Notamacropus eugenii: one gene and its partners. The protein of the gene in region 3 purifies or fractionates together with the protein of the main gene of each other region. This does not show direct contact. Links are inferred from orthologs where the notes say so. Each region holds a gene or a part of one and is shown on either strand. Other genes may lie near its edges. The genes, in order: BCAP31, RAB2A, VDAC1 and UQCRC2.

The links.
Region 1: the proteins of VDAC1 (region 3) and BCAP31 purify together in Homo sapiens (affinity purification with western blotting; 3 studies listed by BioGRID, with this or other methods). This does not show direct contact. The link is inferred for Notamacropus eugenii from reciprocal best matches to the Homo sapiens genes VDAC1 and BCAP31.
Region 2: the proteins of VDAC1 (region 3) and RAB2A purify together in Homo sapiens (affinity purification with mass spectrometry; 3 studies listed by BioGRID and IntAct, with this or other methods). This does not show direct contact. The link is inferred for Notamacropus eugenii from reciprocal best matches to the Homo sapiens genes VDAC1 and RAB2A.
Region 4: the proteins of VDAC1 (region 3) and UQCRC2 fractionate together in Homo sapiens (co-fractionation; 3 studies listed by BioGRID, with this or other methods). This does not show direct contact. The link is inferred for Notamacropus eugenii from reciprocal best matches to the Homo sapiens genes VDAC1 and UQCRC2.

Annotation. Positions count from the first base shown.
Region 1 is NC_092879.1:22,532,452-22,539,716, forward strand, and holds the start of BCAP31 (B-cell receptor-associated protein 31), read right to left. Parts: upstream 3,061-7,265; 5' UTR 2,825-3,060; intron 1,664-2,824; 5' UTR 1,608-1,663; coding exon 1,516-1,607; intron 1,020-1,515; coding exon 919-1,019; intron 1-918. Other genes in the region: ABCD1 (ATP-binding cassette sub-family D member 1), read left to right, coding at 3,891-4,829. UniProt on the Homo sapiens protein: Functions as a chaperone protein. Is one of the most abundant endoplasmic reticulum (ER) proteins.
Region 2 is NC_092875.1:279,689,646-279,696,970, reverse strand, and holds the start of RAB2A (ras-related protein Rab-2A), read right to left. Parts: upstream 3,179-7,325; 5' UTR 2,767-3,178; coding exon 2,721-2,766; intron 1-2,720.
Region 3 is NC_092872.1:341,433,558-341,440,624, reverse strand, and holds the start of VDAC1 (non-selective voltage-gated ion channel VDAC1), read right to left. Parts: upstream 3,153-7,067; 5' UTR 2,990-3,152; intron 2,247-2,989; exon of another isoform or gene 2,141-2,246; intron 1-2,140. UniProt on the Homo sapiens protein: Non-selective voltage-gated ion channel that mediates the transport of anions and cations through the mitochondrion outer membrane and plasma membrane.
Region 4 is NC_092874.1:397,018,467-397,025,822, forward strand, and holds the start of UQCRC2 (cytochrome b-c1 complex subunit 2, mitochondrial), read right to left. Parts: upstream 3,041-7,356; 5' UTR 2,686-3,040; coding exon 2,653-2,685; intron 1-2,652. UniProt on the Homo sapiens protein: Component of the ubiquinol-cytochrome c oxidoreductase, a multisubunit transmembrane complex that is part of the mitochondrial electron transport chain which drives oxidative phosphorylation.

The DNA of each region.
Region 1 (7,265 bases), on a different chromosome or scaffold from region 3:
CAACAGAGATACTCTTTTGCCACTACCTGACTCAAAACCTTGGTAGTGAGAGTACCCTGCTTAAAAGCAGCTACCTTACAAAATACTTCTAAGTCAATGTGAATCTATAGCCATCAGTATGGTAAACAAGCAGCTGGCATTGCACATGTTTGAATACTGATGTGTCACACCCATCTTGCTAAGATGCAACCTTGCCTGGACACATCTCCTTGAATCTTGTGAATTAAGCTGCCAAGCCCTAGGAAGACAAGTAGGATAGGGGCATACTATTGTTACAGCACGGAGGTTCTTCCCTGCTTGGACTAACGGGGAAACCTGAGACCAGTTAGAGAAGCCATTAAAGCTCTTTTGGAGCAGTGACATTTTCTTCACCCCAAGGTGGGGTGTGATTTGCTCCAAGTCCCAAAGCGGGTTAAGTGATCTAGGTTCTAGTCCCAGTGGCAACATCAGCTCCCAAGTCCAATGCTTTTTCTACTCTCATTCATTGCTTTTCTTGATTCTGTTGGGAAATTTACTTTTTTTTGCCTTTCTTTTGACATAGGCTCTTCAAGGATACAAAAAAATGGGACTCTGTTTACCTTTGCAACTTTTAATGGGCCTAGCTTGTTCAATCTCTGTACCTAAAACGTGGTTACCAGAAGAAGCTTGCTCAAGTCTGGGGTCCAGATCTGTTGGACCAGTGGCTAGAACCTGGTACTAATGCGAAGGCCAGGCATCCTGGAGACCATCCAAAGCATCTATGGATCAACAGTGCCATCCCTGTTTATGAAGAATATCAGAGGACAGATGCCTAAGATATGTACAATCTGGTAAGGGGGGTGAGACACAACTGTGAAAATTAGACAAATGGAAGAAATGGAATTGTGAGAGGTTCCTATTTGGGATACTGCTCACCACGACCACATCTCTGTCACTCACCAATGAGAAGCAGCACCAGGATAACAATGAGAACCACAAAGAAGGTGTTGCCATAGCTCACCACCAGTTGCACCAGGCGGGACTTAAAGATCTTCTGCCATCTAACGAGAAAGAAACAGAAGCTGGAGATACTCAAAGTACCCTGGGATCCCTCTCAGCCCCAGATACTTTCTCAACTTTCCAGTCTGGGGAGTCTGTGCACCTGGACCGACAATTGCTTAATTACAACAGACTGACACTTCTGGAGAGAAGTATTAGGTAAGTGTTAGAACTAAGGAGAATCAGCTTGCATAAGGACCCCCAACCTCCCACATCCACCTCCATCCTAGGAACCTGGCTGCACCGCAGACACCCAAAAGTGAAAGGGGAATGGGAAGAGAAATTGGGAGGATTTCATGTAGGTGAAACACTTTATCTAAAAAATATGAAAAGCAGATGGCTCTGCCTCCCTTTATGAAGAATCATTCCACTAGGGAAGCCCTGGAGGTCCTATCAATTAGCCACCAAACCTATACACGTAGGTCATGGGGCTCAGCATTGCACAATTCATCATAAAGGCACCTTGAGCTCTGAAGTTGATCACTCAATAGGCTGTACCTTTTGGGAGAAATGAAAGGAATGCAGAGCAGCAGCACAGCAAAGACCTCTGCATAGAGGAAGGTAGCAACCGCAGTCCACTGAAGACTCATCCTTAGTCACTAGTTGGTTTTGACCTGGAGGCAGAATAGACCAACCTCTGAAATGTCTGAAAAGATTTGAGGAAACACAGGCCATGAGAAAGGGGTGGAGGTGAGGAGCTGATCAATGAGCAACAAATTCTTGAAGAAACTGTGCTGATCCATACCTCACCAATCCTTCTTCTCAGCTTTAAAAACCATACTACGTTCCTTCAAACAGGAATTAAAACAAGCAAGTGAATTAAGCCACATTAACATAGCTGGGGGAACCTATCAACAACTTCTAAAGGACCAGGGGACCCCTTGGTTCTGGTAAATAAATTAATCTACTACATAATTTACTGAAGTCTTCAGAGTATGGGTTTTAAAAGCCCCAAACACATGAACAGACAGTGTGATTCACAGGACTACTATGTCCCTTAAACCAGGCACCCAAGTAGAATCTTGAGATGCCAGAAGTCAAAACTAACTGACTTCCGGTGGGAAAAGCACTAAAGAGGATGTGTTTGATTCCCAAAACAGGCACCTGAGTGACTCTGGGTAGGCCATTTAATCTCGCCGGGTTTTATTTTATTTTTCCAATTTGTATAATACAATAACAAATTAATAACGATAATAACCGCAGTCTCTATTTACATGGAGATATAAAGTTTTGCAAATCACTTCGCACAGATTTGGTAAAATGAATTAATTGGAGTAGATGACTTGGGCCCCTGCAAAGGAGAATCTGGAAATGGCTAGGTCTTCCAGATAGGCCAGAATAAGGTCCCCTTCTCTCCAAACAAGTAACCCTACTCCACCCCTCTGTTGGAACCTGATCAGGGCCCTCTGACTATGCAGCAGAAACCCTTCGCTCACGCCCTCACTAAATGCACCTCCTGACCAATTTTCCCCGGCACTCTGCGACAGATCTGGTTAGCTGGCAATGCCAGGACGCAGGCCTAGCTCCGCTCCCTGGGGCCGAAGGGGTCCTGCTCCCTTGGCAGCAGCCACCCCCACCGCCTGCGCGGCCTCGGCCGTCTCCCAGTACCCTACCCCCTCCCCGCCCAGGCATCGGGACGTCCCCTGTCCCCCCTCCTCTCCGGTCTTCAGCTCCACGCTCGTCCGAAGCGAGGGGGCCGCCACCTTCAGGGCCCGGTAGCTTCACGGGGGTCCTTTCCCTTAGTTCATGGCTCCCCCCTCAACTTCTGGCTGGCCCCCTGGCCGGGTCGGACCCGCCCTCTTCTCACCTGCGCGCCTCGGCACCACAGCCGTAAGATTTGAGTGCCCGAACTCAGTATTCTCCCACCCAAATTCCGCCCCTCAGCCTTGTGTCCACAGACCGGAAATCGGAAGTTGGAGGGTCAGGCCCCGCCTCCTGTGCAGTCTTCCACCAACCACCGCACCGCTTCCACCTACTGCTACAGCAGCCTCGGAGGGCAGGTAGGAAAGCGTGAGTGCGGGAATGCGCATGCCCAGGAAAGGGGCCAGAGGGCGCTCTCTACCGATGACGACACCCCTGAGGGCGGGGCCAGCCGGGGGTGGGAGGGGTGGGAAATGGCCTCTCTAGTCAACTGAGTCCTCCAATATCTCTATGATTTCGGAGGCGAGGCGGGGAGTAGCTAGAAGCGTGAGGTGGGCGGGGTCTCTGTAGCCCGCGGCGGCCGAAGCAGCTGCAGCTCCTCCTCCTCCTCCTCCTCCCCCCTCCCCATCTCGCTCGCCCCCGGGGAGGGGTGGGTGGGGATTATGGGCCGGTGGCGGAGTCACTGTCGCTCCAGTCTGGCTGAGGAGCGGTCGAGTTTGCTGTCCTGGGGAGGGGCCGCGCCCTGGGAGGAGGAGGAGGAGGAGGAGGAGGAGGAAGAAACAGAGGAGGAGGAAGAGAAGATAGCACTCCCTTCCCCGGCCCCCCTCCACCCCAAATCCTGACCCTACGTGGTCCACGGGGCTGTCTGGGGGTAGGGATCACTGACTGACTGAGGAGGGTGAAGAGGAGAGATAGAGACAGAGAGGAGAGAGCAGAGAGAGGAGAGACAAACTGGAGAGAGGAAAAGTGTAGAGACAGAAAGGAGTGACTGACACACAGACAGACTGAAAAGAGCCAGAGACATAGAGGAGGGACCCAAGATTGACAAAAGAGAGACCCAGATTGACAGGTACCTGCTTGGTTGCTAGGGCAACCACCTCAGTGGATGCCCTGTGGCACCCCTGGTTTCCTAGGAAACGGCCTAAGGGGCCTGCCCGCAAGGCCTTAGTTGCCCGGGTAACCTCCGCGGCCTCCGCTAGAAGCTCGGGTGCCCACCCTTCCAGGCGGGCGCCATGCAGGTGCTCTCGACGGCGCGGCCCTCCCGGGCGGCCTCCCTGCGGCGCCTGGCCGTGGTGCTGGCCCTGACGGCCTACGGGGCGCACAAGATCTACCCCCTGGTCCGCCAGTGCCTGGTGACGCCGCACCCGCGGGGCCCCCCGGGCCGGGCCGAGGCGGAGGCCCGCAGCGCCTCGGGCTCTTCGGCCGCCGGGGCCACGGGCAGTGGCGCCAGCGGCAGTACCAGCGCCAGCGCCAACCGCGAATTCTTGCGCCGGCTGCTGTGGCTGCTGCGGCTCCTGTTCCCCAAGGTCCTGTGCCGGGAGACCGCGCTCCTGGGCCTGCACACGGCGGCGCTGGTCAGCCGCACCTTCCTGTCCGTGTACGTGGCCCGCCTGGATGGCCGCCTGGCCCGCTGCATCGTGCGCAAGCAGCCGCGGGCCTTCAGCTGGCAGCTGCTGCAGTGGTTGCTCATCGCGCTGCCCGCCACCTTCGTGAACAGCGCCATCCGCTACCTGGAGGGCCGCCTGGCGCTGGCCTTCCGCAGCCGCCTCGTGGAGCACGCTTACCGCCTCTATTTCAGCCAGCAAACCTACTACCGAGTCAGCAACATGGACGGCCGCCTGCGCAACCCTGACCAGTCCCTCACTGAGGACGTGGTAGCCTTCGCTGCCTCAGTGGCCCACCTCTACTCCAACCTGACCAAGCCCTTGCTCGATGTGGCAGTGACCTCGTACACCCTGGTGCGCACAGCTCGCTCCCGGGGAGCCAGCACATCCTGGCCGTCGGCCATCGCAGGCCTGGTGGTCTTCCTCACGGCCAAGGTGCTTCGGGCCTGCTCCCCCAAATTCGGAGAGCTGGTGGCCGAGGAGGCCCGCCGCAAAGGGGAACTGCGCTACATGCACTCGAGAGTGGTGGCCAACTCGGAGGAGATTGCCTTCTACGGAGGCCACGAGGTGGGGAGCCATGGGGGATGTGGAGGATGACAGGGGAGACAGGGCCCACATTGGGGAAAGGCTTCAGTTGTCCAAGGAGTTGGTGGCAGAAATGAGGAAGGAAAGGGGGGAGGGGTATTGGGGTTAGTGGTGGAAGAGGAACCTAATGGGGAGGTGGGGGTTCAGACTTTGCGGTCGGGTGAAAAAAAGGGAGGTTTCAGGAAAGGTTGGAGATTGATGTAGGAGTATGTTGTGTGTGTGTGTGTGTGTGTGTGTGTGTGTGTGTGTGTGTGTGTGTGTGTGTGTGTGTGTAGGGGAAGTGTCCCTGGGGGTAGCACAGGGGAAGATCATGATGGTGAGGGGTTCTCTCCCAGCTCCATCTAAATTACAAACTGCTGCTTTCTTTGACACTTCTGTTTATTTTGTTCTCGAGACTGGCTGCCAGAAAATCTTAGCGGTTTCAGACTAGAGCATCCCATTCAAGTCTCTGCTTGTCTATCTTCATACCCGAGAGCCTCCCTGGCCCCCTCCAACCTTGTTCCTTGAGGTTCTTCCAGTCCTCCATGCTCTAGGGCAAGTTTCTCTTTGCCCAGAGCCCTACGAGGTCCCAGGGCTGGGTCTGTCTAACCTAATGACTGAGCTGGGAAGATGCCAAGGACTGGGAATGTATTCTCTGAGGACCAAGCTCTTGGCTTTCATGCTAAGGGGTGGGGAAGAAGAAATGCAGAGTCAGAGGCACTCAGAACCACAGAATGCAGGGCTTTCAAAGTTTGGGAAATCTGGGATGTTTTTGGTTCCAGTGGAAGGAGGAGGGCAGCTTGGGGCCAGGGAAAGGGGGAAATGGAGAACTGCCATTTGCCATGTGACTTGAGCTGGTTGAATCAAGACCCGGCTCCTTGATTGTCTGACCCCTCCCTATTCTCTGTTGTTGAAACCCAGGTAGCCCTCTGATGGGCCTCTGGAAGGCGGGGGTGTTCAAAGAATGACTCAGACCCAAGCTCGGTTAACAAGCGGCACCAGCAAAGACTGGCCATTTGGGATTAGGGGTCAGGTCTTTGCTGACCTCCTTCCTCGTCTCTAGGATCCAATACCAACATGGCTCCTTGCCTGCAAAGTTTCTCAGTCGGATTGGGGCCCCGTGCCTTCTCCCCCACCCCCCTTCCTCATTTCCTTGAAAAGGAGGGAATGAAGGGATGCTGAGATAACAGACCTAGTCGACAGAGATCACGGGGAAGTTGTGTAACTCCTGTTTGTCCTGGTCTCAGCTGCCAGTTTTCCCCTTGTATCCTTTCCTCCTCCCACACTCTACTGTATACCTATTTCCCCGCTAGGGAATTGGATACTTGAAGGCTATCTTGAGCTCATTTTTCCCACCCCCAGCAGGGCCCCTCGGGGGACTAGGCTGGTATGGGCCACTTCCTGCCCATGCTTCCCCACCAAGGGAGGGTGTCCGCCCTTCCGCAACCCTGGCCAAATCCCACTGTCCTCTCGGGGAGACCGCTCCCGGATCAGCCTTCTCCTGGCAGAGTCTGCCCCCGGCAAAAAGATCAGGAATAAGATCTGTTATGGTTTTCGCTGCCAGTGGCTAGGGCCTCTGGAATGTTCTAACGGGGTGGAATCAGCCTCTGCCTTAACTGCATAACCATGGGGCTCCGGGAGAGGTTACTCCGGGCCAACGCTCTCTTTATCACCTTCTCTTCCCTTCTTGGGGCTGGGGGCTTCATTGCGCAGGCGCCAACCTCCTTGTTTCACTTTCACCCTGTGCTGCAGAATGGGTATCTCCCCTGTCCCTCTGCCTGTTGACGTACTTTCACTTCGAGCTCTTAGTGGGAAGGGGCCCTAAAGGGGACGGTCTTTCTCCAAGATTCCTTTGTACTAAGCTGTGTAATTTGGGGAAACCTTTATCCCGATGTTTGTTCAGCAGGTGACACGTGGCTTGTGGGGGAAGTGTGTAATCGGGTAGGAGGGATGAAGAGGGGGCCGGCATTATATCCACCCTCCTGAGTTAGGTATTTAAAAGCTCCACCTTTGGAGAAGTCGGAGGGAGCAGCTATGAAGAGTGTTCTGGCCTTCCCTTAAGATTTTGAGCTATAGGGCATAGGACTTCAGATCCCACCCACCAGGCTCCCCCAGGAAAGGGAGCCCTGGAAGACAGCGTTGAATGAGAGCTACTTGGCAGAGACCCCATAGCTACTTTGTCCACCAGGATTGAATCCCCTTATGCCCAGCAGGACTCTGGATTCAAGTGTGCTCAGAGAATGCAGACTCATCCCTTTACTGGTAGAACTTGCTCCCAGCAAACACAGTCCAATCTATGACAATCTGGATTTATAGCACAGATAATTAGAGGAGGAGAACTTATGGGCTTTATCAAAGGTTTTGCCACAGGACAGCAACACAGCTATTGGCTCAACTGGACTCCAGCTGTGTTTGCCTCAGTTCGCTTCCATAATCATT
Region 2 (7,325 bases), on a different chromosome or scaffold from region 3:
CTGGTACAAGGAATCTGCAGGTGAGAAAACTCCCTTAATCAAGGAAAACTGACATCTTTGCAGCTTAGCCTTAGCAAGGGAACTGAGAGGTTAAGTGGCTTTTTTTAGGGTCATCCACAAAGAATGTCAGAGGTGATATCTGCACTAGTTTTTTATGCTACATACACACAAAGTAATGATAGGAAAAAAGGGAAGCACTGGAGCCAATCAGGAAAAGGTCTCATTCAGAAAAGGTGGCATTTAGTGGCAGTTTGAAAAAAAACAAGGAATCCTAAGAGGTTACAGTGGGGAGAGAGAGTTCATTCCAGGCAGAGGCACCCACAGCCCATGCAAAGAAAGGCAAAGAAGTGAGATTGCAGAATCTTGGTGAACTGTAGGGTGCTCAAAAGGGAATAATGCACAAACAAGGTTCAAAAGGTCCGTAGGGCCAGGGTTGTGAAGGGCTTTAAAAGTCAAATATAGTTTAAGGTGACCACTGAGGTTTACTGATTCAAAGAGTGACACAATGAGACCTGTGCCTTATGAAAATCACATGACTTTAGTAGCTAAATGACCAAGAAAAAGGAAAACATTTTGGTGGGAATAAACAGGATGCTTGGGGGCTGCTTTGGATAAATTCCACCCACAACATCTAATGACAGATCCTTTTCTCCAAAGGCAACCACGTGGCCATCTCTCTTTACTGCCTTACTTTCATTACTTGGTTATCTAAAATATGTTATTTTCAAAGACTTCTCATATTCCCAGTTCCTATCCCTTTCCACTAGGACAGACTATCTTTGACTAACAGTCTAAGCTCCACCCCCTCTCATGCTCAGGTGTACCATAGCAAATTTAGAAATTTGTATGTATTACCAAATAAAAAGTCCAGGAAACTGAATTATCTAGCATACTATCTTGAAAACAATTTATTTCCCATATCCCTTAAGAACATGCGGATTCTACCAGTGTTTTAGTGTCTCTTGTCATTCAATTAAGGGATTTTTGTGAATGTACTATTAAGTACTGCCACATCTTTGGGGCAACTGCAAGAATATATCCAAAGTTGTGCAAGAGTCACCAATGAAATCAGACTCTTGTATATTAATAGTTGAAGTTGTGACACCAAGTTAACTAACACCTGAATGAGGCTGTTTTATTATTAGATTCAAAGCAGTATACCAAAACAAAAAGTATTAAGTGAACTGATTTCAGATACAATAAATCTAACATCCTGGGGTACAATTTTAAGAACATTTAAGTTTCTAGCTGCTTCAAAAGGAAGCCTGGTCTCCCATAAATTACCTCCTGGATTAACCCAAGAGAACCTAAGTTCCTTAAGGGTAGAAACTTTTTCTTTGGTAATACGACAACACCACCTTACAGAGAGTACGGACTTAGCAGTCAACAAACATATATTAAGCACCTATGTGTTAGGTATGAGGGATAAAAGGAAAGCAAAAACAAAAGACCTAGTTTCTGCTCTCCAGGAGCTCAGTCTAATCTACATACAAACAAAATCTTATGCAGAAAGAATTCATGCAAGACTATTAAGATGATCAGAAAAGACTTCCTGTAGGTGAGATTTTAAATGGAACTTGAAGCCAAGGGACAAAGACTAGAAGGGAGAGAATTCAAGCCAAGAGACAGCCAGTGAAAATACCTAGGGTCAGGAGATGAAGTGTTTTGTTCAAGGAGGCCAGTGTCACTAGACAGCAGAGTATGGGGGTGGGGGAGTAGAGAGTAAGGTGTAAGAAAACTAGAGAGGTAGGTGATCAGGCAGGTTAGGACGGGCTTTGAACAAGAGAGAGACGATTTTCTATTTGATCCTACCGGTGATAGGGAGCCAATGGAATTTTATGGAGTCGGTGAGTTAGGATTTAGCTTAGAAAGCTAAAACATGGTATATTTCCCAAATCCTAGTATTTCAATGTTACACATTAATAGGATTGATATGTAAAAACTTAAAAAAAAAACCCTACAACTGGCTTAATTACCTAAGATATGGTGTATTTCCTAAATCCTAGTATCCCTGTAACACATTAATAGGATTGATATACAAAAAGTAAAAACAAAACAGTTGTAGAACTGGCAATAGCAACTGTTTGCAGTAACTTGTCAGCAATCAGGAAAGATCTTCAGGATCCAGTTTGACACTCTGGTGACCTCACAAGGTTTTTTCCCAGGGTTCTAAGGCCAAAACCATTGTTGCCTTAAGCGAGATGTAAAAGGTTATCGCACTCCCTGTTCGGGGAGGCAAGCCCAAAGCCTTCCCGGCCTAGGAACTGCAGTAGCAGCCGGGACATCATCATTAAAGTCACGAAAGATGATTTCCAAGTAAAAAATACGCAAGCAGCCAACAGCCTCCCGGCCCGGCCCGGCCCCTCTACCTGCCCGCAGGCCGGGGGAGGGGCTGCGGGAGGGTGGGTGGGAGCTCCAGGCCTGGCCCAACCCTCCGCGGCAGCGGTCTCGGGGGGTCACACGTGGCCGTCCCGGAGCCCGAGGCCTGGAGCGGCTGGGCCCGGGCTGGGCGGGGGCCCGGCAGGCCAGGCCGCAGAGGCCGCTCGCAGTGCCCACGTCACCGGCTCCAGCACTGCGGAAATGGAGCCGCGGCGGGAGGAGGGGAAAGGGTGGAGGAGAGGCCGGAGGCGGGGGAGGGAAGCACCCGCCGCCAATCGCGCTCGGCCCCGCGGCACGGGGGGCTCCGGGGGCCGCAGCCCACCCGTCGCCGGGCGACTCACCTGTGTCGCCGATGATGATGTATTTGAAGAGATAGGCGTACGCCATGGCCGCGGCCGCTCCGTGCCCCCGGCACACGGCTCCTCCTCCGCCTCCTCCCCCGAGCCGCGGCTCCTCACCCCGGCCCTGATCAAGATCTCAGACGCCGGCGTGCCCGCCCAGAAGAGGAGCTCGGCGGCAGCGACGGCGCGGAGTCGGCAAGCCGAGGGAACCGAGAAAACGCCAACACGACGCCGGCAGAGGCGAGATGAGCCTCGCTGCCCAGCCCAGCCCCCTCCGACCTCGACCCGGAAGAGCAGCCGCTGAGCCGGCAGTCGGAGGAACGGAGGCGGATCGCCGGAGGATCGCCCTCCCCCGCCCGTTCCCCCGCCCGTTCCCCCGCCCCCTGCTACGGAGGGCGGGGCCCTGAGCGGAGCTGAAGGGAGGGAGTGGGTGCGGCCAAGCCCAGATTGGAAAGAACAGCGGGCGGAGGGGGAGGGGGCGGGGACTGGAGGAGGGGCGCGTCTCGCGCACGCGCACACCAGACGTGCCGGGCGGTTCGTGCTCCGAGGTGGGTGGGCGTTCCCTGCGCTCGTGGGGGGGAAAACCCAAAACCTACGTCTGAGACCTTTTCTGGTGATAGTTGGAGGAAACAAATGGTCATTTGGAAAACAGTTGAAAAATGTGAAAAAGAAATCCTTACCATCTCCAGAGCACCAGTTCCCTGACACTACCTGCCAGCTAGGCATCTTCATCCGGAGGTCCCTGAAGGCGCCTGTCAGGCTCTACGCTTGTCAATGGACAAGCGGTGTGATATTGCTACATGTTACCATGTGCCAGATCGGATGCCAAAGCTGGAATGTCCAAAAACTAGGCGTGGAGAAGAACCAGCCTTTGCCCTCAGGGGGCTTACATCCTAATGGGAGCCAGACAACAAATAAAAGGCAGCAGAAAGGGGAGGGAGAGATCAAGGGGAGGAAGGTCCAGGTAGCCAAGTTTGGGGAGAGGGCAGGGGGTAGCCAGAGGAGAAGGGAATACAGAGTTGTTCTTACCCAATCACAGGGAAGGGCCACAGAGGTAGAGGATATTTTCAGTGTGGGGATTCTGGGGTTGCCATGATCTTCCAGGAAAAGAGATTTCTGGAAAAGAATAGATTCTGGAATACTGACTGGTAAGAAATTAAGATATGGAAGATGCTTTGCAAACCTTAAAGCGCCATAGGAATGTTAGCTATTATTCTCTGAAAAGGAATCCTTTATCTTGTCAATCTTGTTCCTTTCTTTCAGTTTGTATTATTTCTCCTGGGGTCCACGCTGTTACCCAGGTTACTAACCTCAGAAGTATCCTTAATTGTGCCCATTCCCTTACCCTCCTCCACATTTCATCAGTTGCCAGGTCTTATTTATTCCACCTCTCCCATATTATACCCTACTTTCCACTGGTACAACTCCCACCCAACCGCCATTGTCAGATCCTCATTACTTCACAAATTGATTTCTAGGAGAGCACCCCAAAGACTAACCTGGCTTCTATATATAAAGTCAGGCTACCCACTTAAAGCCTATCACAATCTAGGTCCTATCTGCCTTTTCACTTCCTCTCATATAGTCTTCATTCCTAATACCTGTTCTTTAACCAGATCTGGGCATTCCATCTGTAGTCTGCCCTCTTATAGATTGCCCTTCATGCTTAGAATGAATTCACTTCCTAACTCTTATGTTCCCTTACTTCATTTGAGACTAAATATAGGTACCACCTTATATTGGAGCAAAATTTTACTCATCCCTTGTATATTCAAGTAATCTCTCCTTCCTGTGTACTTATATCTGTACATATTGTAATCTTAACTGAATAGAAATTCTGTAAGGGCAGTAACTGTTGATTTCTCTTTTTAATCCTCAATACCCTGCATATATGTCAAACTGAAATGGAGAGTCTTATAGATTTAAAATTGCCTTAGGAACATTAAAATGTGTTTTGTGTAACCTTGCTCACAAAATTAACATGTTTTGAGATATTAAAATTTAGTTCAGTCAGCAGAGACCAGTGGAATAGGTTAGGTACTCAAGACACAGTAGTCAATGAATACAGCAGTCTATTTTTTGATAAACCCAAGTACCCCAGCTTCTGGGATAAGAACTCATTGTTCAACAAAAATTGCTGGGAATACTGAGATAGGGCATAGACCAATGCCTGATGCTGTACACAAAAATAAAGTCCAAATGAGTACATGATCTAGGTATAAAGACTGACAGTATAAATAAATTAGTGGAGCAAGGAATAGTATATTTATCAAACTTATGGAGAAGGGAACAATTTTTGACTAAACAAGAGATAGAAAACATTATGAAGTGCAAAATGGATAATTTTGATTACATTAAATTGAAAAGTTCTTGCACAAACAAACCCAGTGCAGATAAGGAGGGAAGCAGAAAACTGGAAAAGAATTTTTGCAACTAGTATCTGTGATAAAGGCCTCATTTCTAAAATATATAGAGAACTGAGTCAAATGTACAAGAATATGTCATTCTCCAATTGATAAATGGTTGAAGAATATGAACAGGCAGTTTTCAGAAGAAGAAATTAAAGCTATCTATAGTCATATGAAAAAATGCTCTAAATCACTATTGATTAGAGAGATGCAAATCAAAACAACTCTGAGGTACCATATTACACCTATCAGGTTGGCTAACATGACAAAACAGGAAGATGATAAATGTTGGAGAAGATGTGGGAGAGTTGGAACACTAATTCGTTGTTGGTGGAGCTTTGAGCCCATCCAGCCATTCTGGAGAGCAATTTGGAACTATGCCCAAAGGGCTACAAAAATGTGCATACCCTTTGACTTAGCAATACCACTTCTAGGACTCTATCCCCAAGAGATCATGAAAATGGGAAAGGGTCCCACATGTACAAAAATATTTATAGCAGCTCTCTTTGTGGTAGCCAAAAATTGGAAATCAAGAAGATGCCCATCAATTGGGGAATGGCTGAATAAATTGTGGTATATGAATGTAATGGAATACTATTGTGCTATAAGAAATGATGAACAGGAAGACTTCAGAAAGGCCTGAAAGGACCTATATGAACTGATGTTGAGTGAAAGGAGCAGAACCAGGAGAACTTTGTACACAGCAACAACCACAGTGTGCAAGGAATTTTTCTAGTAGACTTAGTACCTCATTGCAATAAAAAGACTTAAAAAATTCCCAATGGACCCTTGAGGCAAAATACTTTCCAGATCCCAAGAAAGAACTATGGAATTGGATGGCAAAATGAAGCAATTTTCTTTTGTATTATGTTTTGTTTTGTTTAATGATTTCTCCCATTCATTTTAATTCTTCTATGCAACATGATTAAGATGAAAATGTATTTAATGGGAATATAAATATGAAATTGTATGTCAGATCAGGGAGGGAGTGGGAAAGGAGAGGGGAAGGAGGGGAAAAAATCTAAGATATATGGAAATGATTATAGAACATTGAAAACAAATAAAATAATTTAAATAAAAAATAGAAAAAAGTTTAGTTCATTCAAACAGTAATTACACATTAAGACAAGAACATAACTACTATGCCCTCTCAGACAGATATCTTTGTGATGGTAAATTAGGTCATCTTTTCTCTCAATTTTTATCTAGTCTTTAGTCATTGAAAATGCTTTGCCTCAGACAAACTGGGACCTGGGAAAGACCTTAATTTAGAAAGGCCAAGGTTACCCACCACATCTAGGGCCATGGTCAGTCATCTTGACTTTCATCTTGCTACTGAACTTCGTAACAGCAGGGACCCTAGCATACACAGGAAGGCCTGCTGCACAGGTTCTTAGGTCTGGTTTTCTAAAAGGAACGCAACTTTTGAGGGGTCAGCAATCAATTTTAATCAAACACATATATCATTCACTTAGGTAAGGGGGAAAAGTCAACACCCTGAAATTTAGAGAAAATACAAATAGAAATTACAAACAGAAAGACCAACAGGCAGGGCTTCCAACTGTCTGACCATAGACAATACATACATAGATATCAGACGGGGAAGCACCAATATCTGGGTTTTCAAAGCCAGGGGTCTCCTTAGTAGCTACCCAGAATCTCATCTGACACTCAAACCTTCTTCCAAAAAAATAACCCCAAAAGCAAAACCTCACCTCAGAGTTATATATATATATATATAACCTTTGCAGGACTGGAGGGCATGACCCTTGTGACCCAGTTCCTCAAAGGTATCTGAGGCCTATCAATGGGTGAGGAAGATCTTTAACTCTTCCCATCCACCCACCATTAACCTTACATTAACCTTATAGACTTCCATGACTCTGAGGGGAGAATTTTACTTAAAAGTAATTCACAGGAAAGTCAAGACATTACTTTGTTGATATCAATGATCATCTTCAAGAATGAAGAAAGAACAACTATTCCAGAGAGCAAATAAACAAGAGGGACCTTATTAAATTACCTTTTAATTCAATATAGTTTTACTCTTGAAAAGTTGCATCATACTGCTTATCTACAGTATTCATAAATAGCAATGTTTTTATTGCATAGTCTTTAGAAAATATTTTTGGAAACTAAAAGCATGAGTAACAGTAAATATCTCATAGCAAATATTTTGTGCATCCTTTAAAATTCA
Region 3 (7,067 bases):
CAACTAACCACTTTAGACAAAAATGTGAGCCAAGTCACTTTCTGTACTCACATTTTCAACGAAAGCCCACAAGTCAGGATGGCCAATCATTCAAAGTGATTTTCAAGTTGGTACCATTCATTCTTTTGCTTAACACATTTATAAGCCTACAGTGGACTTTTTGGGAAGAAACTCTTATGAAGATATGCCTTTCCTGCCTACAAAGAGGTGGTCAGGGGAAATTGCAAATATCTGATAATTCACTGGTTTGATGCCCTCCATTCTGATTTGTCACTTGGATGTGGAATTGCGGGAAGAATACAGAGGGTGATGCTGATGATGAAGCATCTTCTCCAACAGTCACCAAAGAGCAAAATGAGGCTTTGCACAAGTTTTACAAGATTCTATCAAAATTATAGGATCATAACATTCAAATACAGTTCTGATTAGACACTGAGAGCATTTTTAGAAAAGATTTAAGTTAGTAACACAGTAAAGCAAAAAATGCATTAACTGGCACTTAGAAGACCAGATTCCTAGTCTTGGCTCTGCTGCAAACTTGCTATGAGATTTGGGGCAAATTGCTTACCCTCTACATGCAGAGGAAACAATAATATGCTATGTAACAGGATTAAGGAAAAGATAAAATAAAAAAAAGAAATAAAGACAAAGGAATTTTGAAAACCTGGATGCTCAGTTTTTGGATGACTCAGTCGAAAGTTGCTAGGCCATCCAGGGGGAGGCTGAAAGATTTCCAAGTGTACACGAGTGGGCTAAAACAAACTCACTAGCCTTTTGCAAGTATCATCAGTTCCCCAATCTTGGCTGGGGCCTGTGAAAGTCAGGGGAATTGGTGTTTCACTTTGTTTAAAGAGACAATGTCATGATGGGGGAAAAAATATGTAATCTATTCTTGAACAGAACTTTGGTTCTTGGCATCTCATTCAGGAATGCATACTTAATCTTTGTTAACTATAATATTATTAGCTCAGAGCTAAGCAATGGGTTAGGAACTGACCCACTCACAACCAAAGGCTCATCTAAGAGAAACTGGTGCATCATGGATCCTGCCAAGTCGTCAAAAATTGTGAGGAGGGATGTGTATCACTACATCACTAACACTAAAATATAAGGAGGTATTCAGAGTCATGAGGTATCAGAGTAGAAAAAGACCTTAAATATCACAAAGTCCAACGCCCTGGCTGAGGTCCAGAGAGGGGACTTATTCAAGGTCATAAAGTGAGCTAGTGACAGAGCCCAGACTAATTTAAGGCAGGCAGATTTTTTTAAAAAGTTTCTGACCACACCCACCAATATGTAAATGACTTTGACCAAGCAATAATTAATTTTCAATTTCCCATGGAAAGTATATTTGGGATAAAGAGGAGACCAGAAGTATTTTTCTAAGTGCACAAGACACTCATTCACACACCCTCCTCCTATCCTTTTCTTTCTTGCATTAGTTATTTGTGCAAACCTCTTTTCCCCTTTAGATTGGAGAGAGAAGAGAAGGGAGCGACCATGGTTAAGACTCCCTCATGGAGACACCAAATGACTTTTAAAAATGTATTTCAAAGGACTTTTGGGGGCTTTTAGCAATTCTAACAGCTGCAGCCAGCAGATCTGAGCTATTTCTTCCAGCCACCCAGCAGTTATCACTCTAATAGGTTATCCTCATTAAGCTGGGGGGAGAGGGGGCGGGGAGAATGTGGTTTCGAGTAGAGTCATTTCCCCTTGAACATTTATTTCTCACTCCTCTAATTATTCACCTCAGTGAATGGCCGAGGTTAATAGCAACTATGTAACTAATTCACAAATCTAGAAAATGCTAGAATATTTATTTGAGCAAATCTTCCCTGATAATTCTAGGGACGTGTTTCACAGAAGAACAATCACGTTAGGCACAAGGAAAACAAGATTTCGATAATGCAAATATCCCGGCACAGGGAGCCAGGAGACTCAAGCTGGAGACTCCGTCTCGCTCAGAACAGTGTGACCTTGGGCCAATTCTTTTTCCTTCTTGGGTCTCAGTTTCATCATCTGGGACCAAAATGGGGATTAAAACCCATTATCTCTAGGATCCCTTCTCTTCCTAACACAGAATAATTTGCGAGCGAAGGTATTTCTGTTTCCACAAAGGTAGAATTGCACCCGGTCTCACCGTAGGCCATGTGGCCTGCTGTCTGTGTGGCTGGGCCGCTGTCAAGGGCCGCTGCTATCCAGGGACAGTCTTCGAGAAAGCAGCGCCAACCAAACACCAATTAACCCTGTGGGCATGTTTTAATAGAAGGCCAAAAAGTGGGCGACAGTGCGAAGTCAAAGTGGGGAGACTAGGGGTCTCTATCCACCGGGTGAGGCCCGGGTGGAAGCCAGGCGCAGGTGGAGTTTGGGTGCCCGCGGCTGGGGATGTGCACTAGAGAGGGAAGCCAAGGCGGTGAGAGTGCGGGGGTCCAGGGGCTGCCTCCGGCCCGACCGGCAACACGGTCCGCACACGCGGCCCCGCAGCTCCCGGCCGGGAAGGTCACGTCCCCAGCAGCGCTGCGTGGCGCTGCGCCCGGGCCTGCCAGCTTCCCTCCCCAGCGCAGGCCCCTAGCCCGCGCAGCCCCAGGCAGGGTCTCGGGGAGCACGGGCGCGAGGCTGAGGGGGCCAAAAAGCGGGGCGCCAGCAGGGCCCCCCCTACCCCGGGCCAGGGCTCCCAAGAGGGCAGCGGTGACAGTGCAGCGCGGTCAGTCCGGTTCGGCCACCGCAGCCCCACTCATTCGGCGCGCCCCCACATCCCGGCCGGGTCGGGTTGGGTTGTGCCCTGCTAGGCTGCGCCCGAGGGCCCCCGCCCCAGACCTCAGGGTCAGGCTCTAGGCCAGGTCGCCCGGGCAGTGGCCAGGGTAGGCGCAGCAGCAGCTCCGCACGAAATCAAGCAGCCTCCGCCGATCTGTGCCCCAGCCTTGACGCCTCCGGGGCACAGAAGGGAAGCTGGGGGGATAGAGGGCTTTTTGGGGGGGGGGGTCCCTACCTTCCTCTCCCGGCGAACGCAGCGGGAGCAGCAGAGGGCGGCGGACACAGAGGCAAAGGGGCGGCAGAGGCTGCGGGGGAGCGGGGCGGGGCGCGGAGCACGGCGGCGGCGCGAGCCCGCCCCCGGGTGCGGGCTCCTCCGGGCTCCGAGTCAATCTCCTCCCCTTCTTCCATTTTTCCTTTCCCGCCTCCCTCCGCTGCTCTTGTCCCCACCCTTGCTTCCCTTCCCCCTCTCCCTGTCCTTCCCCCCTCCCAGTTTCCTTTCTCCATCTGTCTCCTGCCTCTTGTGGCTTGTTTAGAATGGCTGCTTTCGACGTGTATGCACTTCTGTGTCTGCCCTTGAACCTATGGGCTCTTCTGCTCTGCTCCCATTTCCACAGCACTTTGCATTTTACAGAGGACTTTCCTTACAACTCCATGTGGTAGACAGGCAAGGATTATTATCCTCCATTTTATAGATTAAGCTCAGAGAAGTTAGTTAGAAGTCTTGCCTAAGGTTTTAAAGCTAGTGAGTGGCGGAGCCTTTTTTTCCAATCCAATTCTCCGATCAAGTATCCTTCAGTCCAAAAGCTCTTTCTACCACTCCGAACTGCCTCTATTAGTAAGCAACATACTTTATCCTAGGTCCACAATTTTAGATCTAAAAGAAATCAGTCACACTTAATAAACAGAGAAAAAGCAGTAGGTTGAAAATCACTATTCAAATCTGAACTGTTATTTGCTTACCTGTATGACTTTGCACAAATCACTAATCCTCACTGGACCTCAGTTTCAACGTGGTTGAAAATGGAGATTCAGCCTAGATGACACCTAAGGTTCTTTCTAGCTCTAAATCTGAGCTCAGTTCTCCCAGGAACCTCTCAGGATTCTGAGCCACAAGCCTAATTCTTGATCTCTCCTGTTTGTTTTGTTCTTTGACAATTTCATGTTCCACCTTTGGAAACCAAATTAAGTTGTGCTAGGGTTGGCATATCTGAGGACAGACAAAATAACCATAAATGTGGCCAATCACAATTGGTCACATATACCATATGTGACCATATACTTTTGCCCTGTGCTTCACCAGGTGCTGACTTGACATACCCTGTGACTAAGGGGCTATTTGGGTTCCTTATCTTGTAGTTCCAAGAACTAGACTCTTCATAACTTAGGAGGGGTTGGCGTCATTGAAAAATCACTGAGATTGAGCCAGAAACCATGGCTCTGCCTTTGGGCTCCAATCTGAGACAAGATCAATGAACCCTTCTTTGCCTTGTAAAAACCTATTGAGACTGCAGGTTCTGAACATCAGTAATCATGTCCCAGGACTTAAGATATATATGTAGAAAGTACAGGGATAACAACAGTAATAATAACTGACATTTTATATTTCCTTATTGTACTGGTAGTGAAGGTGGGAGGGGGAAATAACCCAAGAATCTAGGACAACTTGGAATGAATCACAGAAGCATCTAAATGCTCCATTTTATCTAACAGAATTACACAGAGAATATCTCTACAATGTATCTTCTATCTCTAACGCAAGAGGTAGAAATAGTATCTCTTCTTTGCTATCACAAAGATTAAATTATAATGTTTCTTGTTTCTATCCTGGCTCCCTCTTACTCAAACAATCATAGATCCACAGAATACCAGAACAAGAATGATGATGGGGAAACTGTATCAGTAAGCACCGAAATATATACAGTGGGGCCTGCTACCACAGGTTCTTTGATCTGCTTCTCTAAAGGGAAAGGCAACCTTTGAGGGGTTAACAATCATTTTAATCAAGCAAATGTATCATTCAGTTAGTTCAGGAGAAAAAGTCAGCACCTGAACTTCAGAAAAAATACTAAGAAATCAAAAGTCAGCACACATGCTTCTAAAATGTCTGCCCATTAACATATACACATTTTTACCAGAGAGGGAACATCTGGGTTTCTCAAAGCGGGAGGGAGAAGGACTCCTTAGCTGCTTCCCAGAGTCCTCCTCTGGCCAAACAAACACTTCTAGTCAGTAAGCTGCAAAATAAAACCTTACCTTCAGAATATTTATACACACTTTTCAGAGCCAGAGGGCATAACCCGCTGATCCAGTGCCTCAATAGAGAAAACAAAAGGTATTTGGGACCTTCCTACAAAACAACTCCCCTAATCAAGCTTCCCTCTAAGGGCAGGCCCATCAACGGATGAAGAAGATGTTCTTTAATCACATCATTTTAGTAAAATAAAAACAGCAAAAGATCCTAATTTGATTGCCATCACAGAAATTGAGACAATGAGGAGAGAATTAGTTGGGACTAGAACCTAGGTCTCTTGTTTCCTGGTCACTTTTTTTTTTTTTGTAAATAATATTTTGTTTTTTCCAATTGCATGTAAAGATAGTTTTCAACATTCATTTTTGTAAGATTTTAAGTTCCAATTTTGCCTCCCTCCTCTTTCCCTTCTCCCGTCCCCTAAAGAGCAAGCAATCTGATGTAGGTTATCTGTGTGCATTTATGTTAAACCTATTTCCACATTAGTCATGTTTTGAAAGAAGAAACAGAACAAAAAGGAAAAAAGAATCCAAAACCCCACACAAAAGTGAAAATAGTATGCTTCAATCTGCATTCAAACTCCTTAGTTCTTTCTCTGGAGGTAGATAACATTTTCCATTATGAATCTTTTGAAATTGTCTTGGATCATTGTATTGCTGACAAGAGATAATTCTATCAAAGTTAATCATCAAACATCGTTGCTGTAACTATGTACAATATTCTCCTGATTGCTTGCTTTCTTCAGCATCAGTTCAAAGTCTTTCCAGGTTTTCTGAAATCTGCCTGCTCATCATTTCTTATAGCACAGTAGTGTTCTGTTACATTCATGTGCTACAGCCATTCCCCAATTGATGGGCATTCCCCACAATTTCCATTTCTTTGCCACCCAGTCACTCTTAACAGTCAACAGCACAATCTTCATTCTTTGACCTCCAGGCACTGCCTAAAGCTGAAATCAAATTTCTATCTCTTAAAGTGCCATACCATACAGTATGGTATAGCAGTGGAGGTAGTGTGAGAAGACCTGTGTTTGATGCTTACCCTGGACAGTTCTGGACAAATCATTTCCTCTGTCTGGAATTCAGGTTTCTCATCTGTAAAATAGCAATAATTATATTTGCAATGCCTGCCTCATGCCTTGCAGGGTTATTAGAAAAGTGCTTTATATATATTAATGTACCTGTAATGGAGGTAGATTGACCTGGCCACTCCTGATACACACTATGACAAAGAGGGCTTTTTTGAAAAAATGTCATGGACTCTTTATCCATGACTTTTCATTACCTAGACTGACTCTAGCCTAGATCAGTGACCTTGGGCAAGACCCTTCCTTTCTGGGAAATTCTTATTGTTTTAGGATTTGAGAGAATAAGCATATACCTGTATATCAGCTGATGAAGGGTTGGTTTAGACACTCAACTTTAGTGCAAACACTGGATTTGAAGTCAGAAGATCTACATTCTAATCTGGCTTAATACACTCTCTCTCGGCTAGTTTCCTCCATCATCTATAAAAGGATTAGAATAGATTATCTCTTTGGTCATTTCCATCTCCATATCCTATGAACCATGAAATAAATGAGTGCACTATAACTAAATTTTACTACTTTCTGCCCAGACATTGTGGCCTTCTCTCAAACTACTGTACTTTTGCTTAGGCTATTCCTTAACTTAGGAATAGCCTACCTCCTAGTATTTGTCTATTGAATTCCCTACATAAAAAAAAAAACCTCAGAATCAGAGACACTGAATTGAAAGAAACCTCAAAGACCATCCTGACTAAGAATTCTCTCTACAGCATCCCTGACAAGTAATCAACCAATCCCTACTTAAATATTTCTAGTAAAGAAAAGTCTGTCACCCCTGGATCAAACTCCTATACATCGGCAGTCCTCTTAGTCTGCTTTTAAATTGCTCTAATTCTTAGAAATTTAGCGATTTTGTGTTGAGGGCTAGGATGGAGTGCTGTTGGCAAAGTTCAGGATAGAACTTCAGGGAACCTATTCTTTAAGACTGTGCTCATTATCATCCAGAATGGCTCTCCAGGTCCCCCTCCCAAGTTGCTG
Region 4 (7,356 bases), on a different chromosome or scaffold from region 3:
TCCACTACCATCCTGAGGAGTAATTACTCCTGTAGGTGCTATAGCCACTGTCACTGAAGACCCAGAAAAGAAAATTCTTGCCATCAAAGTCTATGGGATCATCAAACAGTTTGGTATCAGAAAGGATTTTATCAATGGAAATGACATTAGAGGAGAGGAATTAACCATCTGCTTTGCACCCTAAGGGCACTGACCTTGATATTTCAGACTTGCAGCTGAAATGCACTGCTTTCCTCATTCAAATGTGACTTGACTGAGAACAGGGCCAGTCTTACTTTTGTATTTGTATCCTTAGTGCTTAGCGCAGTGCTCTGTACAGCTAAATAAATGTCTCCATTCATTCACCTTAGTCAATATGTATTCAAAGAACTAGAGATCTAAATAGTATTTGATAACTCAGGAGGGAACAACACAATATAGTAGGAATAATAGTGCCAGTTCTTTCTAGTGCTCTGGGTCTTAGAGAGTGTCTTACATACATTAATCTCATTTGATCTTCATGCTAATCCCAAGAGGAAGGTGCTATTGTTGACTTGACTCAGACTGGCTCAGTCACTAGTTTCTTCTTTGACTTTGAGCAAGTCACTTAAACCTCTCTCAGTCTCCATTTCCTTATTTATAACATGAGGGCAGAGGTAGATAATGCCTAAAATTTCTCTGGGTTCTAAAATATGGCTCTTTATCCATATAGATAGAGCCTATGGCTCTATATCCAGTTACCAAAAAAAAAAAGGTCATTACATGAAAGCAAAGGAGACTTAAGTAAAATGGGAAAAGGTAGTTTGTTTTTTTAAACAGCACTCTTCTGGAGAACACGTTAAAGCAGTCATGTAAAACAGATTACGATCCCTATGAGCAGTATATTGACCTAGAAAACCACAAATTAACATTACCTACACAGTACTGCATTTTTATTTTTGTTAAACATTTCCCAATTACCTTTTTATTTGGTTAGGCACAGTTGGATATTTCTGCATTAGAGAATAAAAGGTGAGTAAAAGGATTATCACCTAAAATAAGGGTCCACAAATATAAGATAAATTCATATAAAAATATTTTACACAGAAAGAGCCTTAAAGATTATCTTGTGCAGAGCCTGAAACCACAGTCAATGGCACAACATGAATAGGAAACTAGTTATTCTGACACTCAGTCCAGTGCAATTTCCACTCTGACACATCAACTAAATAGTACTGATTTATAGTAGAAACAATTTGTATGGTTTTATTACTTTCACCACTACCAATCTTCAGTGGCTGCTTCAGGGAAAGGGTTTGACAGAAATTCCCTTCAGATCACAAAGGGACAACATAAGGTCAAGGGTCCCAGGGATGTTAGATTCTTAGTGAAAATATTATTGCAATAAGTTAGCTAGGGGTTCAGATTGGGTAGAAAAGGCAAAGGATATCAAAAGAGGTATGATGGTCCCGAAAAATACAGAAGAGTGCCAGCATTCTAGGCTGAGGAGACATTAACATCTGAAGAAGTGATATGCATGGAGCAAAAGAAATCTGCATTCAGAGAGCCTCTGGAATTGAAGTCGTCAAGGACCTTCTATCTAATATTTTCAGTAGGAGCTCTTAGAAGGGGGCTTAAATGTCATTTAGTTCAATCCATCTGTTTTTATATCTGTTGCTTACATAATTTCCTAAGGTAATCAATTGTATGTTTATCCTTTACTGTGTCCTGTAATAACCCCTATCTACATGGCCCTGTAAAATCCCTTTGGGGCTCGATCACCCAAGACTGGGCAACGCTATGCATACCGGTGATACAAGGGTATATATACGTAACATATACACGGTTATACTTTGCTGCAGCTATCCTATAACCCCTGCGCCCCCTTCCCCAACCCCCCCAACACACCCTCTAAGTCGTTATTCCGTACAATTATAATTCAAATGTTTCAATTCTTGGCTCCAAAGTTCCTTCTCCTCAAATGGAAACCACTGGATTCCATAAAAATAAACTTGCATGAAATGAAAACAATAACTCGCTTTTTATGGCGCTCTGTGGTTCACAAAGCACTAGGGCCCAGGGACCCTCTGTAACCAGACTTCAGACCTCAATAAAAACCGATCTCCCACCATTTCACTGAACAGCCACCCCAGACAGGAGAGGCCCCGGGTCCGGGGAGCCGGAGGGCGGATGACACGTGGACCTCCCCCCTAAACAAGCGGGGAAGGCTCGGGGCGGGGGAGGGGAGGCTGCTGCCCCGGGCCCCGAAGCATTTCCCCGCTTTGCAGGAAGGCTGGGGTGCGGACCCGGAGGAGGCCTTTTTCTGCACAGCCCACCCAGAATCCTCGAGGAGGGTCTTTACCCCAAGTCCCCGCTTTCACCCTCAGGGGTTCGAGCGGAGGGTGTGGCTCCGACCCTCCCCGCCCACGGAGCGGGGTCACAAGCATGACCTTCACTGGTGTCCCCTCAGTCCTTCGGGAAGGGGCGACCCGGGCCTCCGCTCGGCTCCCAGGGGACAGAGCCGTCACCCCCAGCCGCCCCGGACCCGGCCGCCTGCTCCCTCCGTAGGGTTCAGCTGAAGGACAAGGGGAGAACGGGGAAGCCTGACGGAGGAACCCGAGCCAGGCGACCACACCAGCCCCCTTCCCTCCCCTGGAAGCCCGTCACGCCCTCCGCCAAGCCGGCTGCGCTCACCGAGAGAGATCCAGCGCCTGTTAGCAGCTTCATGGCCCCGACTCACTCGTGACCCCGTACTGACAGGGATTAGAGAAAGCAAGATGGAGGCGGAGGACCTCCGTTTCCCAGAATGCCTCGCGCTCCCTCCGGGAGGCCTCTCTTCACCGAGCGCTCTCTACTGCTTCTAGCCCGGGGCGGGGGGGCCGGAAGAGGCGTTTAGTCACGCCCTGCGCAGCTGGGGGAGGCCTTCATTTCTTATGCCGATTCCCTTTTTACCACTGCCTGTAAATTTCAAGACTTCCATTAAAAAATACTTTAATATTAGCCCACGTTCATTTTGCTAGGTGACATTTTCCTTATCCCTTCACGACTGGATGAAGGGTAAAACCGGTAGTAACGACTTCCCCCACTGCCAACTTGGATTCTTCTTGCCATGGGCACCAATCAGCTCCTTAGAGCCTCTGGGCCCCGCCTCCTCTACGTTCCCCCCCACTTTTACCACGTGGGCAGGTTGAGGGCGGGCTCATCTTCAAGCAGAAGGAGAGGTCAGAGAGTTCTTCGAGTTAAGCCTTTGGTTAAATTGGACGGGCGCGGGCTAAGTGCTTGCTGTGCGCATGTCCTGTAGAAGCCAGGCAAACTAAAAGGCAGAGATGAGGAGGCAGTTCATTCCAGGCATGGCAGACAGCACAGAATGCTGTTTTCAAGAACTGCAGGGAGGCCAGTGTGGCTGGGTGGCAGAATGCAGTCCAGAGGGGAATAAACTGTTGGGAAAGGTGGGAAGGGTTCAGGCTGGAGAGCTTGGAGTGCCAGAGGACTTTCTACTTGACCATGGCGGTATTAGGGAGCCCCTGGAGTTTCTTGAGTGACATGGTCCTTGGCAGCTGTGTGGAGGATAGATTGGAGTGGACAGTGAAGCCCACGAGCCAGCTGGGAAGTGACTGCAGTAGTCTAGGTGAGAAGCGGAGAGGGACTGAGCAAGGGTGGGCAGGCACATGGGAGCTGTGAGGTCCGAAATGTCCAGACGCGTATCCTACGGAATGGATATAGGTAGCCACGGCTGCCAGCCCGAGTGAGTGGCGGAGAGGAGGAAGGTGCCTTCATTTGCAAGACAGTAAGTTCTGTAGGACGTGTTGAGTCTGAGGTGCCTGTGAGAAACCCACTCTGAGATGCGGAAGACGCATTTGAAGATGTAGGATTCTAGCCCAGGAGAGACTAGTAGGATTTGTTGTATGGTTCTGAGAATCTTCTCCTAGAGATGATCACTGAACCCATAGGAGATGATGTGGCAGATAATCCTTTTTGATGGCTCTCTGGTAAGAAATATCAGGTGAGGCATACAAAAGGGAGATCCGTGTTTGCCAAAGGTAGCCGCCGCTGCGATGGAGGAGATCCAGGGTGAAGTCCAAGTTGAAAAGGGATCCTGTTTTTGGATGACATTCTGCTGATTACCTCAAGCCCCAGGACGCTGCAGAGCTTCTAGGAAAGGATCTTTAGATATGCGTTCTGCATCTCCAGCTCATTCTGTGGTCCCCACGTGATACCTTCCCACCCTTCCTCAGCTACTTTTCAGTGCCCTTTTATTTCCTATCTTCCTTTATTAGACTGTAAGCTCCCTGAAGGGCAGCTAAGTGGTGAGTGGATAGAGTGCTGGGCCTAGAGTCCAGAGGACTCATCTTCCTGAGTTCAGTTGTGACCTAAGACACTTACTAGCTTGTGTGACTCTGGGCAAGCCACTTAGTCCTGTTTGCTTCAGTTTCCTCATCTGGAAAATGTGCTGGAAAAGGAAGTGGCAAACCCCTCTGGATCTCTTCCAAGAAAACCCCAAATGGAATCATGAAGAGTCAGATAAATCTGAAAACAACTGAAGAACAACAAAAACTCCCTGAAAACAGGGACCATCTTGTTTTCTTGCTGTTGTATTCCCAGTGCTTAGCATCATGCCTGACACATGGTAAACACTTAATAAATGCCCATCTTCTGTCCTTATGTCAAATTACACAAAGGAGTTTGTCCTGTCTAAACACCCAGAAAAGACAGTAGATGAAGAATGTCTTGCCCAAATTTCAACAAGCAGTTGGATGATACCCTATAGAACTTGTTCAACAGTATGTATATTTGGGAAAGGTAGTACTGATAGTCAGTGGGCTGCATTCAGATTTGAAAAAGAGTAAGAAAATGGCCTAAAATGCCCTTGGGAAACTGCAGAGCTCATTTACTGACTTTAAGATTCTCATGAAAGCAAAACTCTATCTTTTTTAAAAAAAATAATTTATTTTTAGTTTTCAACATTCATTTCTAAAGATTTTGAGTTCCAAATTTTCTCTCCATTTCTCCCCTCCCTGCACCCCAAGATGGCATGCATTCTGATTACCCCTTCCCCCAGGCTGCCCTCCCTTTTATCATGCCCCTTTCTTATTCTTTTCTCTTTTATTTTCTTGAAGGGCAAGATAGATTTTTATACCCCATTGCCTGTATATCTTATTTCCTAGTTACATGTAAAAACAATTTTTTAACATTTGTTTTTTAAAGCTTTGAGTTCCAAATTCTCTCTCTTCTTGCTTCCCCACCCACCCTCATTGAGAACTCAAGCAATTCAATATATATACATGTGTAGTTATGCAAAACACCTCCATTAATAGTCATGTTGGGAAAGACAATATTTCTCTCTATCCTATCGTCCCCCCACCAATTATTCTATTTTCTCCTGTGACCCTGTCCTTCTAAAGTATTTGCTTCTGACCACTCCCTCCCCCAATCTTTCCTCCCTTCTATCATCCCCTCCTTCTTATCCTTTTCCTCCCTACTTTCCTGTAGGGTAAGATACCCCATTGAGTGTGTTTGTTATTCTCTTCTCACTTCTCCCCTCTTCCCCTCCATTGTGAAACCTTTTTCTTGCCTCTTTTATGTGAGATAATTTACTCCATCCCATCTCTACCTTTCTCCTTTTCCCAATATATACCTCTCTCACCCCTTAATTTTATTTTTTAGATATCATCCCTTCATATTAAACTTACCTTGTCCCATCTATCTATCTATCTATCTGTCTGTCTGTCTATCTGTCTGCCTGCCTGCCTGCCTATCTATCTATCTATCTATCTATCTATCTATCTATCTATCTATCTATCTATCTATCTATCTATCTATCTCCTCCAACTACCCAATACTGAGAAAGGTCTCATGAATTACAAATATCATCTTTCCATGTAGGAATGTAAACAGTTCAACTTTAATAAGTGTCTTATGATTTCTCTTTCCTGTTTACCTTTTCATGCTTCTTTTGATTCTTGTCTTTGAAAGTCAGATTTTCTATACAGCTCTGGTCTTTTTATCAAGAATGCTTGAAGATCCCCTATTTCATTGAATGACCATTTTTTTTCCTCTGAAGCATTATACTCAGTTTTTCTGGGTAGGTGATTCTTGATTTTAATCCTAGCTCATCTGACCTCTGGAATATATTCTAAGCCCTTCAATCCCTTAAATGTAGAAGCTGCTAGATCTTGTGTTTTCCTGATTGTATTTCCGCAGTACTTGAATTGTTTCTTTCTGGCTGCTTGTAATATTTTCTCCTTGACCTGGAAACTCTGGAATTTGGCTACAATATTCCTAGGAGATTTCCTTTTAGGGTCTCTCTTTAGAGGCAATAAGTGTATTCTTTCAATATCTATTTTACCCTCTTGTTCTAGAATATCAGGGCAGTTTTCCTTGATAATTTCTTGAAAGATGATGTCCAGGTTCTTTTTTGATCATGACTTTCAGGTAGTCCAATAATTTTTAAATTATCTCTCCTGGAACTATTTTCCAGGTCAGTTCTTTTTCCAATGAGATATTTCACATTGTCTTCTATTTTTCATTCTTTTGGTTCTGTTTTATAATTTATTGATTTCTCGTAAAGTCATTAGCTTCCATTTGCTCCATTCTAATTTTGAAGGAAGTATTTTCTTCAGGGAGCTTTTGGTCCTCCCTTTTCATTTGGGCAATTCTGCTTTTTAAGACATTTTTCTCCTCATTGGCTTTTTGGACCTCTTTTGCCATTTGGGTTAGTCTATTTTTTTAATGTGTTATTTTCTTCAGTATTTGTTGGGTCTCCTTTAGCAAGCTGTTGACATTTTTCATGATTTTCCTGCATCACTCTCATTCTCTTCCCCATTTTTCATCTACTTCTCTTACTTGATTTTCAAAATCCTTTTTGAGCTCCTCCATGGTCTGTGACCAATTCATATTCCTCTTGGAGGCTTTTGATGTTGAGCTTTGACTCTGCTGTCCTCCTCTGTTTGTATGCCCTAATCTTGTCACAAAAGTAAGATTCTATAGTCTGAGTTCATTTATAATGTTTACTTATCTTCCCAGCCAAACATTTACTTTCTAACTCTTTGTCAAGGTAGTATTCTATTTCCAGTGTGTGTGGGTGCGGGTGTGGGTATGGGTGTGGGTGTGGGTGTGGGTGTACTCTCCCAGGCTTCAGGGATTTTGTATCAGCCACTTGATCCCCCACTGTCTGTTGTCTCAGAGTTCCTAAAGCAGCCTCTCCTGTTGCTGCCACTGCTGCCTCTGGTGCCACTGCTGGGATTGGGGCTGGACCTGGCCAGACCATGTGCTCTTCTTTCACCCAAATCCCACAGAGTTTTCCACTGACCTTTTTGACATTTGTGAGTTGAGAACTCTAAAAACAGCCACAGCTGCCAATGATTCAGTCCCTTGAGACCTGCTTCAGCTGGTCTCTGC